Nothobranchius furzeri: one gene and its partners. The protein of the gene in region 2 purifies or fractionates together with the protein of the main gene of each other region. This does not show direct contact. Links are inferred from orthologs where the notes say so. Each region holds a gene or a part of one and is shown on either strand. Other genes may lie near its edges.

Region 1 (3,520 bases), on a different chromosome or scaffold from region 2:
TATCAAGGTCATCTGTTGTTCTTTGGTCTGGATCTCGTTTTTCAGGTTCTTTACCTGCTCTTCAGAAGTAGACAAGTGTTGCTGTAGAAGCTCCTTCTGGTGAGCGTTCTCCTGCTCCTGCTCGTTTAGCAAAGCTAGTTGAGTCTGAACCTTTTCCTCAGTGGTCCTGAGAGATTCCCCCATCAGAACCACCTGTTGTTGCAGATTCTGGATTTCTTGCTGCAGCTCGTCAGAATGTGAGGAGCTCTCTTCCTTTAGGGAGACCAGCTGGTCCTCCTTGGTCTGGATCTCTTCTCCAAGTCTTCTGATCTCTTGCTCTGAGGTTTCAATCTTACTGTTAAATGAGTCCTTCACCTGAGACATTTCCAAGTCCTTCTGAGCCAACAGGTTCTCTTTAATCTGCCGTTCTTCTGTGGCAGTTTTCAGAGACTCCATCAAACTTTGTACTTGATTTTTAAGAGCTTTGATCTCCCCACTGAGGACTTCTGTCTCCTTACAGTGGTCAGATTTTAACAGATCAGCTTCATGTTCTTTGGTCTGGATCTCGTTCTTCAGGTTCTTTACCTGCTCTTCAGAAGTAGACAACTGTTGCTGTAGAAGCTCCTTCTGGTGAGCGTTCTCCTGCTCCTGCTCGTTTAGCAAAGCTAGTTGAGTCTGAACCTTTTCCTCAGTGGTCCTGAGAGATTCCCCCATCAGAACCATCTGTTGTTGCAGATTCTGGATTTCTTGCTGCAGCTCATCAGAATGTGAGGAGCTCTCTTTCTTTAGGGAGACCAGCTGGTCCTCCTTGGTCTGGATCTCTTCTCCAAGTCTTCTGATCTCTTTCTCTGAGGTTTCAATCTTACTGTTAAATGAGTCCTTCACCTGAGACATTTCCAAGTCCTTCTGAGCCAACAGGTTCTCATTAATCTGCCGTTCTTCTGTGGCAGTTTTCAGAGACTCCGTCAAACTTTGTACTTGATTTTTAAGAGCTTTGATCTCCTCACTGAGGACTTCTGTCTCCTTACAGTGGTCAGATTTTAACAGATCAGCTTCGTGTTCTTTGGTCTGGATCTCTTGCTTCAATCGGTTCACCTCAATCTGCAGGGCCTCCAGGTGCTGACAGCTCTGTAGCTGCTGCTCTGCAAACTGCTCTTCCTTGGATCGTAAGCTTTCTTCAGCTGCTCTCAGAGAGGAACGAAGACTTTCAACCTGTTCCTTCACTTCTTTGATCTCCTGGTGTAACTCTTCTGCTTGCTCTGAGCTTTGATTTTGTATCAAGGTCATCTGTTGTTCTTTGGTCTGGATCTCGTTCTTCAGGTTCTTTACCTGCTCTTCAGAAGTAGACAAGTGTTGCTGTAGAAGCTCCTTCTGGTGAGCGTTCTCCTGCTCCTGCTCGTTTAGCAAAGCTAGTTGAGTCTGAACCTTTTCCTCAGTGGTCCTGAGAGATTCCCCCATCAGAACCACCTGTTGTTGCAGATTCTGGATTTCTTGCTGCAGCTCGTCAGAATGTGAGGAGCTCTCTTTCTTTAGGGAGACCAGCTGGTCCTCCTTGGTCTGGATCTCTTCTCCAAGTCTTCTGATCTCTTTCTCTGAGGTTTCAATCTGACTTTTAAACGAGTCCTTCACCTGAGACATTTCCATGTCCTTCTGAGCCAACAGGTTCTCATGAATCTGCCGTTCTTCTGTGGCAGTTTTCAGAGACTCCATCAAACTTTGCACTTGATTTTTAAGAGCTTTGATCTCCTCACTGAGGACTTCTGTCTCCTTACAGTGGTCAGATTTTAACAGATCAGCTTCATGTTCTTTGGTCTGGATCTCTTGCTTCAATCGGTTCACCTCAATCTGCAGGGCCTCCAGGTGCTGACAGCTCTGTAGCTGCTGCTCTGCAAACTGCTCTTCCTTGGATCGTAAGCTTTCTTCAGCTGCTCTCAGAGAGGAACGAAGCCTTTCAACCTGTTCCTTCACTTCTTTGATCTCCTCGTGTAACTCTTCTGCTTGCTCTAGCTCAGTCTCAAGACTGGCCACCCTTTCCTCAGTGTGACGAAGAAGCTCTCGGCTCTCTCTATTTTCCTCCTTTAGTGTAAATATTTCTTGTTCAAAAGCAGCGTTGTGCTGCTGTAGTGTGCTAATTTGTTGTTGGTACTCCGCCATCTTCAGATTGCAGTTTTTAATTTCTATTTCTGCCTCCTTTAGAGAAGAAAGTGTGCAATCCAGCTCATTCCTCAGGCTGAGAATTTCAGTGTTCAAAGATCTCTGGAAATTGGAAAAGCACACATTTGGTAAACATCACAGAAAACTGTTTTTCTACTCAATAAAGTCTTGGACTAGCTAGTTCACCTCCATCACAGGACCCATATTCTCTCCTTCTTCCTCCTTGGTGGCCTTGCTCATTTCTTCCTCTAAACAGGATATCTTTCCTTGCAGGATTTGAATCTGTTCAGTCAGGAGCTCCTGGGCAAAAAAGGCAGTTATTAAACACTTGGATCAAGTCAAATCCTTTAATTTAAAATGTATTTAAAAAAATCTAAACATTTACTTTCTGTGCAGTTGCTTCCTTCAGTTCTGAGATTAGTTGGCTGGATTTGCTTTCCCAATCCTCTTCGATGGAGAAGTGTCTTTGAGTCATTCTGTTAACCTTTTCCTCGCAGGAGGCCAGTTGTGAACACAACACTCTCACCTAAAATACAACAATACAACAGTACAACAATACGTTGACAACCAGATTTTAAAACATGTTAAAATCTTGAATAAAACCATGCAGTTAACTCTTTATGCATCCATTTATTTTCAGAGCTTCATTTTTCTTCACCGATGTCTAACATTGTTACTATTCTTGGTCATCGATGCCCTCTTGGAATTTCTCACTTACCAAACATCAGCTGACATTTAAGAATATATTAATATGGCTTCTCTGATTTGAACAAATACAAACCTGACAAATATCCCTGAGACCCTTCAAGATTCTAACATCCAAGAGCCTAAATTACATCATCAACATCCTCCAATGGTAAATGACCTGTATTTGATATAGCGCCTTCTAGAGTCCTGGAACCCCCCAAGGTGCTTTACAACACAATCAGTCATTCACCCATTCACACACACATTCACACACTGGTGGGGATGAGCTACAATGTAGCCACAGCTGCCCTGGGGCGCACTGACAGAGGCGAGGCTGCCGAGCACTGGCGCCACCAGTCCTTCCGACCACCACCAGCAGGCAACGTGGGTTAAATGTCTTGCCCAAGGACACAATGACAGCGACAGACTGAGCGGGGCTCGAACCTGCAACCTTCCGATTATGGGGCGAGACATTGTTCCCATGTGCTTATTACAAGCAAATTTCCAAAACAAAGATAAACCCTGAGAGCATAAGATAAATGTCATCACTGAATTTCCTACAGGGAAAATCTCCTCAGTGTTATCTTACCCGAGAGGAGAGAGCCCCATTTTCCTCAGCAAGCTCGTCTACTTTCCTCTCCATCAGTGCGGATGAACTCTTCAGCTCTTTATTCTCGATTAAAATTTCATCAAGACGCAC
Region 2 (3,520 bases):
GCAATCATCAGGGATCCGGAAATTCTCCATTTGGTTTCAGTGACGGGTACTTTTGCACGGCTGCAAAGTCCTGAGGCGATGGTGGCAGAGGGGTTTAGTGTGCAGTTGCGTCCTTGGGCAAGACACTTCGCCCACCTTTCCTGATGGTGTTGGCTGGAGGGAGTGCTCATCAAGCCTTGCTTTAGCCATCATCAAGCACCTTGGGGGGTGGGGGGCGGGGGTGCCATACAAGGCACTATTAAAATTCAAGCCATTTACCATATGTTTGCACATATGCCCAACGTAACCCCAACCAAACATGATACTTCTCACAGAAGTATTTTATGTATCAGTTCATCAAAAAACTAACTCAAGACTATTTAGCCCAGTGAGTTTTCAGCTTTAGCTATGTTTGCCTCCAGAGTCTTTGTAGTTTTGATGCTTATTTCTGTTTTATTAGTTCTCTGAATCAATATCTGAACATTTTGATGGTTTGGTTCCAGGTTTGGTTGTTTACTTTTGCTTGTATGAGTCCAGCTGTGAGCCACAAGTAAGGATTATTTCAAGAAGAACCAAGCGGGGTGGTCTTCACAACATCTTTTTGTTTATAGAAAGATCTTTTGAGATTTTATACCTCCCTGCTTTTCTTTTCTTCCTTTTTTACATTCGTCTCTACGTAGCAACGCTCTGATGGCTCTGGTTTGAAACCGGCCTCTAATGGAAATGCTAAACGTAAAAGAACACTAAGTCAAAGTCAATATTCTTAAATGCATTGGGACTAGATGCACCCCCCAAATGAACTCTGACCCTTTGAGTTGGCCCAATTTGATAATTTCAACACCTGCAGCCAGATTTCCTCAATTTTTAAAAAGAAAATGGCAGAAAAAAAGTTTATTTAGTGAGATAATTAAAAATGCTAAATAACCCAGTGGAGGTAAATATGCAGCTCTCAGAGTTCACAAACTTTTTAAAGTGACAACGAGTCTGTTCCCTTTATTAGACTGGATGTACAAACCTCTGTTGCCGTCATCTCTCCATCAAAGGCAAAGTCCGTATGCTCGCTGTCGGTCTGCGTTCACAGACCAAACCAAAAAAAAATAAAAATAAAAATCCAATTCGAAAGCAAGAGAAACAAGAAAGACCCAATATGTAAACATCTGAAAAGAAAAGTGCTTTTATCGTTAACACAGAGTCATTACCACAAATGGGACAGATGGAGATGCTCTGATTGTTGGGACTGTAAGCTGAACGCTATCACACAGCGGTACAGATACGACCAGAAACGCAACTAAAACATAAGGAGCAAAGACAGAGACTGGAGAAGCAAGCAAAACAGACTCAGAGGAAGTAGAAACCATCAGTCGGTCACTTTTCAACGAGATGGATCTGAATTAGCTGTAGCCTGGTAAACGTTAGTTTCCTTGACTTATTTTATGTGTTGTTTGCAGAACAAACTTCATTAAAAATGCTTGTTCTGATGATTTTGAGGCCGAACAGCAACCTGACTTTCAGGCCCTCCCCCTCCTGTCCCTTCATGCACTGTGGGTAATGTGGATGCGTCGCTGTCTCTCTGCATCACAGCTGGATCCTGTTACACAGCGATCACCTCATCTGATCACAACAATCCTGCTCACTGAAACGGTAAGAGGTCCTCTCAGTAAAAGTTTGATTGAAACAATTCATTTAATTTGTGGCAGGGAGCGATGCACAGAGACAGAGCAGAGATAAATACGGAAAAGGCTTTATGCAGCTGATGTTTCCAAGCTCCGACTGAACTGTATTAGTCATCATTTGGACATGATGGGGTAACACTGAGATGGGCTAGGCACAAAGCCATGGATTCACCGAAAGATTAGTCTCTAAATGAAGATAGGTGACTTCATTGAATCATGGTAAAATGTCAGTGAAGCTCATGCAAGTAAAGCGATCCCACCATTTGTGTGTAACCCTCTCTTTTGAGGTGAAACAGCCAATCAAAGATGAGACTTGCAGATGAAGCTGTGATGCTGGTGAAGGTGAGATCGTGACCGGGTCAGAGATGAGGTTCTGAAAGTAGGAGACTGACAGACACTGGGACACGCTGTCTCCAGGTCGGCTCTGAACTGGTGAAACGGTTACAGGACAGGATCAGGTGTTAACAGGTATAATGGACTGTCGTTCTGAGCCAGAGGTGGGTACTGGAACAAACAGGCGTACGCACACACACACACACACACCTCCTCTTCCTCTGAACTGTCATGGTCATGGTAGCCCTGGGCTATGGAGGCGGTCAGGGAGGCTGCCTTGGGCTCCAGGTAGCAGAGGCACAGCGCCAGAGGGAAGGAGAGGGTGAGAGCGTAGGGAACGGAGAAGGAGGTGGAGAGCAGGAAGAAGAAGATGAAAAGGAAGCAGGGGATGAGAGACGGGGATTTAATGGGGAGGAAGTTCTGTGCGCACTCAGGGAGGAAGCGCATCTCAGACAGATCGGGGAAGGTGAGGTAGCCGTCTTCATCCAGGATGGAGGACAAGTCGGGCAGGTGCAGGGAGAAGGAGAAGAGCGTGCCACCGCATTGCTTCCCCTGCTCCAGCCTCTGCTTGCGGGCTGAGAGCAACAGCGCCTGCTCCTCCAACAGGGCGGCTTTGCGGTCGGCGTGGGCCTGTAGCCGCCGGCAACCAGTGCTGCTCTTGACTGGACTGACGGACGAGGCCCGCTTACGAGCGCTCTCCCTGCGCCTGCGCCGCACTTTGCTGGATGAAGCGGGAGATGAAGGGAGCGAGAGCTCGGAGCGGAGGGGGTCGTCTGTGTACACATGAGAGCGCTGATGGAGGGAAATGTCAACGAGGAGACGACGTGTGTGTAAATGCAGAGAGGTGAAGTGGAAGGGGGGGTACGCATGAGCACACACACGAGTAAAGTGTGGGGTCAAAGGAAGGACAAGAAAAGAAAAGTGGATTAGTAAAGCGCACACAGGATGAGAAGCACAACAGCCTGTCTATGGCAGTGAGTTCAGCTGAAAGCAACTGGGAAATTCACGACCGCCGTTCAAGTGTTGAATACGAAAATAAACAAAAACAACAAGAAGTAACGGCTTAAAGAGGCAGCCATTTCCCCTTTGGACGTAGGTTTACCTTTGTGTCGAGTCTGAGGGGAGTGGCCGGTTCCGTCGTCTCTGTGGCATCTTTCTTAAAATCCTCCTGCTCCCCCTGCTCCTCTGCCTTTTTCTCTGTCGTTACCGTGGTGATGATGTCCCCCTTGGCAATGACTTTGGCAGCGCCGTCAGCGGTGCCGTCCTTGGCCGGGGTCTCGTGGTTCTCCATAATGGGTGCTGAAACATCGGTGGACAGAGACGAATGAGACAAACGTTGCTCTGTGATGTTTCACGGACGGTAAACGTCGGTGTGAAATGCTCGTTGGTAAATGTGAGCAGCTCTGAGTTGTTTCTGCACATGGGCGATATGGCATCAGCTTTCAGAAGCACAAACGCAATTTATGGCTCCAAAACCGAACAAAAGCCCTGTTCACACCTTCAACCAAAGGAAAAACCACCAATCCGCCCGTTTG
Region 3 (3,520 bases), on a different chromosome or scaffold from region 2:
CCGTTTCATTTCTGGGGGGTCTTGGTTCCAAAGCCGAGGAACCAGAACCTCTAAGGCACGATCACCTCTGGACTTGGGCTGTGGCTGCAGAACCACTGGGAGGTCGCTCTGACCCGAACGTGGCGATCATGCAGAAACATAGCGGGTCAGCAGTGAGGCTATAGGTGGGCTTGTTCCAGACAGAGACCGGATCTTAGGACAGGGGTTCACTGGTAACCAGTCCAGAGCAGCAGCTTTCTGGAGCAGCTGCAGCCGGGTCAGTAAGGACCGGCTCAGGCCAGCAAGCAGAGACCTGGAGGTCATAAACGCCTCGGCCACAGTTCCCAACTCCTGCGGTAAAAACCGCACGAACAACAGAATCCACCTGCAGAGTCTGGCTGAACACCCAGGTGTGTGTCCCGGACTCGTCGCTGCGGAGACAGGTCCGGTCCATGGAGCTGCTGGTCATCGCAGGTAAAAGCACCGCTTCAGAGGTCAGACGGGTTTCTTTTACGGATGCTTCAGTAAAAACAAACGCGACGGTGGCGGAGGACCGAGTCCCCGCAGCAGAACCGGAGGGTTGCAGGTCCAAGTCCTGCTCAGTCCATCAGCTGTGGTGTCCTTGGGCAAGACACTTGACCCCGCTGTTGGGGGCACCTGTGTACGGAAAAGTGAGACCCTCTAGGGAGGCCCCGCCTTTCTCTTATCTGATTGGCTGGAAGGGCTCTGCTACAACTGACGTCCTCCTGCCACCAGCAGACCCGCGTTCCAGGGTCAGTACCGGACCAGAACTGGGTTACAGGCCAGGGTCAGTACCGGACCAGAACTGGGTTACAGGCCAGGGTCAGTACCGGACCAGAACTGGGTTACAGGCCAGGGTCAGTACCGGACCAGAACTGGGTTACAGGCCAGGGTCAGTACCGGACCAGAACTGGGTTACAGGCCAGGGTCAGTACCGGACCAGAACTGGGTTACACGCCAGGGTCAGTACCGGACCAGAACTGGGTTACAGGCCAGGGTCAGTACCGGACCAGAACTGGGTTACAGGCCAGGGTCAGTACCGGACCAGAACTGGGTTACACGCCAGGGTCAGTACCGGACCAGAACTGGGTTACACGCCAGGGTCAGTACCGGACCAGAACTGGGTTACAGGCCAGGGTCAGTACCGGACCAGGCAACTTTTTCAGACCTCTTCCTCAGAAGTCCGACTGGGACAAGGTGATACTACGGACTGATTGGGTTCGGGTGAGCGGGAAACGAGAGAGCGGTGTGTGTCCTCTGAGCAGCCAACATCTCTGCACAGAGCTCTCGCCACAGCTGCTCAATGGGAGGAGAGCAGACAGCGTGTGTGTGTGTGTGTGTGTGTGTGTGTGTGTGTGTGTGTGTGTGTGTGTGTGTGTTTTATGAGGTACTGGTCCTTCCAGTGAGCTTTGCAGATGTGGGAAAATGTCATCAGGCAGTAATCGTTGTTAAATTCATAATTATTCTGGGAGAGAGACCAACTCTTATCTGCCCCTGGGAGCCCCGTAATGCATAGCGTCATTTCAACATGGGGGTGTCCGCGACACGGTTTACATGCAGGTAGCGGCGCTGCGGCTGCTTTATATAGCGACTCGTTGCGTTCTCCCTCAACCCAAATCCTCGGATCACGCATTTTAGCTAAAACGCTAACGTTAGCTTGCCTTGCGTTGACTGTAGAGTTGTGGGTGATGGTCACGCAGATGTGTCATGAGATTGAAGCGTTGCTGCCTTTCACAGACACTTTTTCTGCACGTGCTGCAAACAGGATAGCCGTCTTCTATCAGCTGTCCCTCGGCATTCTTCATATATCCAAAACATGCCCGTACTTCCCACTTTGTCTTCTTTGAGGGATAATAAATGTCCTGAGCGCTGCCGTCTCCTCCTTTGACCATTATTCCAGCTTTAGCTTCAAGAAAGTTTTGGTTGTAAACAACAAAGTGCGCATGTGCCGCCGGCAACTTCAGCAGATGGTACGGTGGCTGGTAAGGGTCACCGCGCCTACGCCGCAGCCACGGTAATCCACCGAGATGATATAGTTTTTTTAAAAACAAGACGGTTATTATTATTATCAACTTTTTTACCGGGGTTTACCGCTACACCGGTTACCATGACAACCCTAGTCCAAATTTTAGAAACGTTCCATAAAGATTATGAATGTGATGTCATCACGTGACGGCGCGCCGAGAGAACAATGGCGGCTCACGCCTGTTAACAGAGAAAACGACGCGCTTTCTGGTGGAAATAGCTGCCAGCCTTCCCCAGATGCCGCCACTAGCACCAAAGTACCCGTGGGGGTGGTAGAACCCTAGAGGGTACTATATAAATAAAGCATTTACCAAAGTAAAACAGCTGAATAATGAACTTTCCTTCAGTTTTAAATGACATTCATCTAAATCATCACCTCAAATAAACTTGTTTTTACCCTAAACGCACGAGCAGACCGCTGTAAGCCGCACCTGTAGAGCACCCTCCCACACATGAACCCTTTCTGATGATTGGCTGTTTTCTACTTCAACTCTTATGATGATGCTTCCATCTGGGATCTTCTACTAGTCACAAAAGGACTTCTAATAAGAATCCATCAGAAAAATGAAAGCTGACAAACCATCGAACTCCGCCTTGGTTTCTTCGGTTCTGACTCCAGCCATGTGGTACTGCTGAGCCACGGACTGGGCCAGCATCCCCTCCAGCCTCTCCAGCGTGGCTTGACCCTCTTGTGTCAGCGCCGATAAACCCTCGTCACACGTGTAGAAGGTGGGTATGTCGGCGTGGCCGTGCTCTAACCGGGTACAGAAACAGCAGCAGTGGGTAAACAGTTTATATTTTCAGAGTGTGTGTAAGATCTGGATGTTCACCTGCTTCTGCAGATGTCAGGTCCACGAGGAGAAAAACCAAACGTGTCCAGAGAAAAAGAACAGAATGAGTTGAGGGTTGAATATCGTGAGTCGTTCCTAATGGCAGTTACCCACCGGCCTCCTCCACGTCGTACTCCTCCCCCTCAAAGTCGTTATCAGATTCGTCGTCTTCTGGGTCCGGGTGCAGGGCCTGGCACTCGCACATGGCTGAGAACATGGACTCCACTGTGAGGAGAACCAAGGACCAGGGTTAGGGCACGTTCCTTTTTACCAGCCACCATCACAGCTGGCTCCAGATGTTGTCAAGCACCTTGGGGGGTTGTAGACCCCAAGATGGCGCCGTACAACTGCAGACCATTTAGTTTTGCCCAGTTAACTTCCAGCTGAGCTCTCGTTCTTCTGCTGTGCAGGGGTGTAATATATATTTAGCCACCAGAGGGCACAAGAGGGCCACCATCAAAACCACAGAAGCGCTCCTTTAACTAAACATATAAAAATGTTTTTTAACTTTGTGCATCACAATAAAATAACATTACATGTCGTTAATAAAATACCCGAGTCCTAAAACTGCGTGACAAGTTACGGATTGTTGACGATGGTCACAGCAGCTGGAGCACAACTAGATTCGTACCCTTTAGTCCGGCACCTATGCACCAGAAACCTGC
Region 4 (3,678 bases), on a different chromosome or scaffold from region 2:
TGATCTAGGAAGGTAGAAGATCAGGACGTCTGAGCAGGTGAGCGGACCTTCGGGACGTCCCGCTGTCACATTCCTCGTTCTTCACGAGCCATGATGCTCTTGGATGAAAACAGCCACCTCTTTAGATCTCAATCAGCTGATGTCGGCTTCACCGCCGCGCTGCTGAATCAGCAGCGCACGCATTTTCTCAACAGTAACGGAAACAGCGTTATGATAAAAGATGATAATTAATGACTCGTTACTGAAAAAAACTACTTTTAAGTAACGCCGTTATTCCCATCTCTGGTGAAAACATACATTTTAAATTTAATCTGTCGACTAATTTAACATTTTAAAACCGAAAGTCCAACCAGAACAAGGAAACACATTTATGCCAATACCTCAAGTTTATTTGAAGCAGATTACAGGATAAAAAATAAAAGTCAAATCAAAACATTTGAACAGATCACATCAGACATGAACCAGACTGGTAAACAGCTGATCAGCACGAACCATTTTTAACCAGACGACCGTTTCTATGCATCAACACTCTTAATGCTGGACAATCAGACTTAAAACAAAAGTAAAGAAACCCGGATTTAAAAACAAGCTCGGACTCGTTCACTAGAGACTCCCGTTAGAAATCACATTTTAGGTGCAGCAACAATCCACATTACAACGTAAAACACCCACTGCTCATTAGGGAAATCCGCTTGGCTTTGACCAACTACATCCAACGAGTCGCTTCATTCAAAACTTCCAACATCGAGAGGAAAAGTCGTTTACTTAAAAGAAATGTGATTAAAATGTAATCTCCCGTCTCAGCTGCAGTTTTGTTGTTCCAGAAGCTTAAATCAGTGTCTCTTGGCCTTCCTGTCTCCATCTTTATGCTCCCTATCACTCCGGGAAGACCTACCCTTCCCCTCATCGCTCCTCTTCCTCCTCTCCTTCACGTCCCTCCCACCTCCACTACTCCCGCCTTTTTTATGGTGACTTCTCTCATCTCCTTTCTTTGCATTTCTACCTCTATCCGATGGCCGACGCTTCCGCTTGCCGCCGTCTCGGCTGCGGCTGCTTGATGACGAGGAAGAAGAGGACGAGGACGATGAGGAGTGGCTGGATCCTGAGGAAGAAGAAGAGGAACTTCCACTGGAGGAGGATCCAGAAGAGGACGAGGAGCTGTTGCTTTGACTGCGGCGTTTCTTCTGCTCCTTTTCCTTCTTCCTCCCTCTGCCGTCCTTCTCACCCTCCTTCACAGGAGTGACAACAGGAAGGGCTCCAGAGGCCTCCTGAGAATCTGGCAGCTTTTGTGGGGCTTCCTCCCCCGACTCTCTTTCGACTGTCTGGCTCTCGTTGGTGGGCTCCTGGTCGTTGGACCCAGGAGTGGTGGGATTCTGGACAGGAGGAGTGGAGGCCACCTGTGGTTCTTGGGCCGGAGAAGCCGCCTCTGTGCCCCGGGACTGAACGGCTGGTTCTCCTGCAGCAAGCCCATCGCTGCGGTCTGGTGCTTCCTGGCTGCTCTCAGCTGTTTCAGATATCTGCACACCTGGAGTCTTTTCATCTTGGAGCTCCGCGAGCCGCTGCTGACTGACTGTTTCTACCTCTTTCTCCTCAACCACATCTTTCTCTGCCTTTTCCTCCACCTCCATCTCTTCTGACTGTGGACTTGTCTCCTTTTCTTCCTTCTCCTCATCCCCTTCCTCCCCCTTTTGCTCCCCCTTTTTCTCCTCTTTCCCCTCCTGACTTACCTCCATCTCTTCCTCCTCATCTTCTTCTATTTTCTTTAAAACTTCTTTCTCTTCTTCATTTACATTGCTAGTTCCTTCTCCCTCTGTTGTCTTTTTACTCTCATCCTTCTCTACCTCTACCTCTTCCTCTTCGTCCTCATCTTCGTCCATTCCCTTTTCACCCCTTTTACCTGTCCGCTTGTCTACCTGACCTGCTGGCTTACCCTCCGCTGGGCGCTCCGTCCTTGTAGCAATGTTGGCGTCCTGCTCGCGGTTCGGCTGTCGCCGGGGGCGTGACTCCATCTTGTTGAGGTGTTCGGCAAATGCCTCACGCCTCTCCTCAAAAACAGCTGATTGGAGAGAAAAGCTCAGGCGTTAGTGGCAGGGACTCGTTTGGAATAGTTGGCAAAAACACCAAACCCAGCTGACCATTTAGTTTCTTGGTGGATTCCTCGAGGAGTTTCTGAGTGGCCGAGCACATTTTCCCAGGCAGGAAGAAGAGGTGAGGCTTGGTCTTTGTGCGGATGTATTTCAGCAGGCGATTGTTGTGGCTGGTCCACTCCTCTTGCTGTTTGAGACACAAGAAAACTTATTTAACACCACCAGAAACCGTCTGTTGTTCCAGATGTTTCCAAAGCACCGTATTGATTAGGGTTGCACAATATATCGTAAATATATCGTTATCGCGATATCAGCATGCACAATATACATATCGCAATGAACGGTCAGCTCAAATGTTTGCTACACATGATGCGTTCTGTCAATCAAATGAAAGCATTATGTTTTTTTTTTTAACAACACAAATAGAGCTCTTCACCCATTTGGCCAATCAGGTGGGTTCTCATTGGTCGGATGCCCGCCCCCGAGGCGGACGGCACTTCATGTTGATGGTTAGGAAACACCCGAGTTAGCTTTGCCTCTTTCTGCTTTTCCCGGGATCCACCGTCTTTTCTTCATTTTCTTTTTCCCTTTCCTCATCTTTTACTTTTCTAATTTTTATGATTTTTTAAAAATTTCTTTGTTTTTGATTATTTTTGTTCGCGAGTTAAGTTTTTATTTATCGCAAGTAATATCGTCATCGCAATATTAATCATTACCGAATATCACAGGTTTACCTAATATCGTGCAGTATTGGCTTTAAGTTTTAACCATTTTTTAAATATGTGAGCGCTGGAGAGCAGAAACAGGGCTTTTCCTGACTACCATCCTGACCGTGCACCAACACATGCATACTCTGCATTCAACTGCCTCACTTTTATTAAAGGCCAAATATTTTTTCGTTAAGTGTTTTAATCTAAGCTTCTGTTAACAGAATATTCCGTTTGACGTTTCAAGTGAAACAAAACAGGTTTGCTGCTAAAAAATATGAAATAAAACAAAATGATCAGGCTGAAATAACACTCTTATTATGAAAGGCTCAATAATATGCATTAATTAGTGTTTAGTTCCTTTTCCCCATCTGATATTTACAGTTAAAATAATTTTAAATATTTGACCTACATTTAAGTAACATTTTAGGTTTGTATTAATAACACTCATCTTAGTCATAATAACACATAAATATATGCATTAAAATACAATGCATTTCATTAACATGCATCTGTGCTGGAAATGGTAATAACATTTAATTTCTGCTGCTAACAATGTAACGGTGGCATGTCTATTATGTACGGGACTTGGCAATAATCCAGATTAAATTATGTTCAAAGATAGAAGCGTTTCTGAATTATATACTACAACGGCCTGCCGTAGGCTTGTAGCAGTAATGTGACTCGTATCTACAGCGGTTCTGATCCGTAGCGCTGCAGGATGCAGAATAAACAGGATGGTGGGGACTTTTCATCCGCTTGTAGAGTTTAGTCTCTTAGTTTTACATCATCATATATTTATCCGTGCGCCACTTGATCGTGAGACTGCTACCCGTTAGCTTTAGCGTTAGCCAATCTGCGTGTAGCTGCACTTTTGATCCCAA

The links. Proteins that work in one complex are often made in the same cells at the same time.
Region 1: the proteins of epb41l3b (region 2) and numa1 purify together in Homo sapiens (affinity purification with mass spectrometry; 3 studies listed by BioGRID and IntAct, with this or other methods). This does not show direct contact. The link is inferred for Nothobranchius furzeri from reciprocal best matches to the Homo sapiens genes EPB41L3 and NUMA1.
Region 3: the proteins of epb41l3b (region 2) and clns1a purify together in Homo sapiens (affinity purification with mass spectrometry; 3 studies listed by BioGRID and IntAct, with this or other methods). This does not show direct contact. The link is inferred for Nothobranchius furzeri from reciprocal best matches to the Homo sapiens genes EPB41L3 and CLNS1A.
Region 4: the proteins of epb41l3b (region 2) and pnn purify together in Homo sapiens (co-immunoprecipitation; 3 studies listed by BioGRID and IntAct, with this or other methods). This does not show direct contact. The link is inferred for Nothobranchius furzeri from reciprocal best matches to the Homo sapiens genes EPB41L3 and PNN.

The regions. Positions count from the first base shown.
Region 1 is NC_091753.1:34,151,736-34,155,255, reverse strand, and holds part of numa1 (nuclear mitotic apparatus protein 1), read right to left. Parts: coding exon 3,410-3,520; intron 2,660-3,409; coding exon 2,519-2,659; intron 2,434-2,518; coding exon 2,320-2,433; intron 2,236-2,319; coding exon 1-2,235. UniProt on the Homo sapiens protein: Microtubule (MT)-binding protein that plays a role in the formation and maintenance of the spindle poles and the alignement and the segregation of chromosomes during mitotic cell division.
Region 2 is NC_091751.1:42,985,686-42,989,205, forward strand, and holds part of epb41l3b (band 4.1-like protein 3b), read right to left. Parts: intron 3,285-3,520; coding exon 3,088-3,284; intron 2,778-3,087; coding exon 2,196-2,777; intron 1,049-2,195; coding exon 995-1,048; intron 1-994. UniProt on the Homo sapiens protein: Tumor suppressor that inhibits cell proliferation and promotes apoptosis. Modulates the activity of protein arginine N-methyltransferases, including PRMT3 and PRMT5.
Region 3 is NC_091753.1:60,563,787-60,567,306, reverse strand, and holds part of clns1a (methylosome subunit pICln), read right to left. Parts: intron 3,081-3,520; coding exon 2,970-3,080; intron 2,862-2,969; coding exon 2,856-2,861; intron 2,780-2,855; coding exon 2,606-2,779; intron 1-2,605. UniProt on the Homo sapiens protein: Involved in both the assembly of spliceosomal snRNPs and the methylation of Sm proteins.
Region 4 is NC_091758.1:40,474,509-40,478,186, reverse strand, and holds the end of pnn (pinin), read right to left. Parts: intron 2,275-3,678; coding exon 2,136-2,274; intron 2,057-2,135; coding exon 834-2,056; 3' UTR 513-833; downstream 1-512. UniProt on the Homo sapiens protein: Transcriptional activator binding to the E-box 1 core sequence of the E-cadherin promoter gene; the core-binding sequence is 5'CAGGTG-3'. Capable of reversing CTBP1-mediated transcription repression.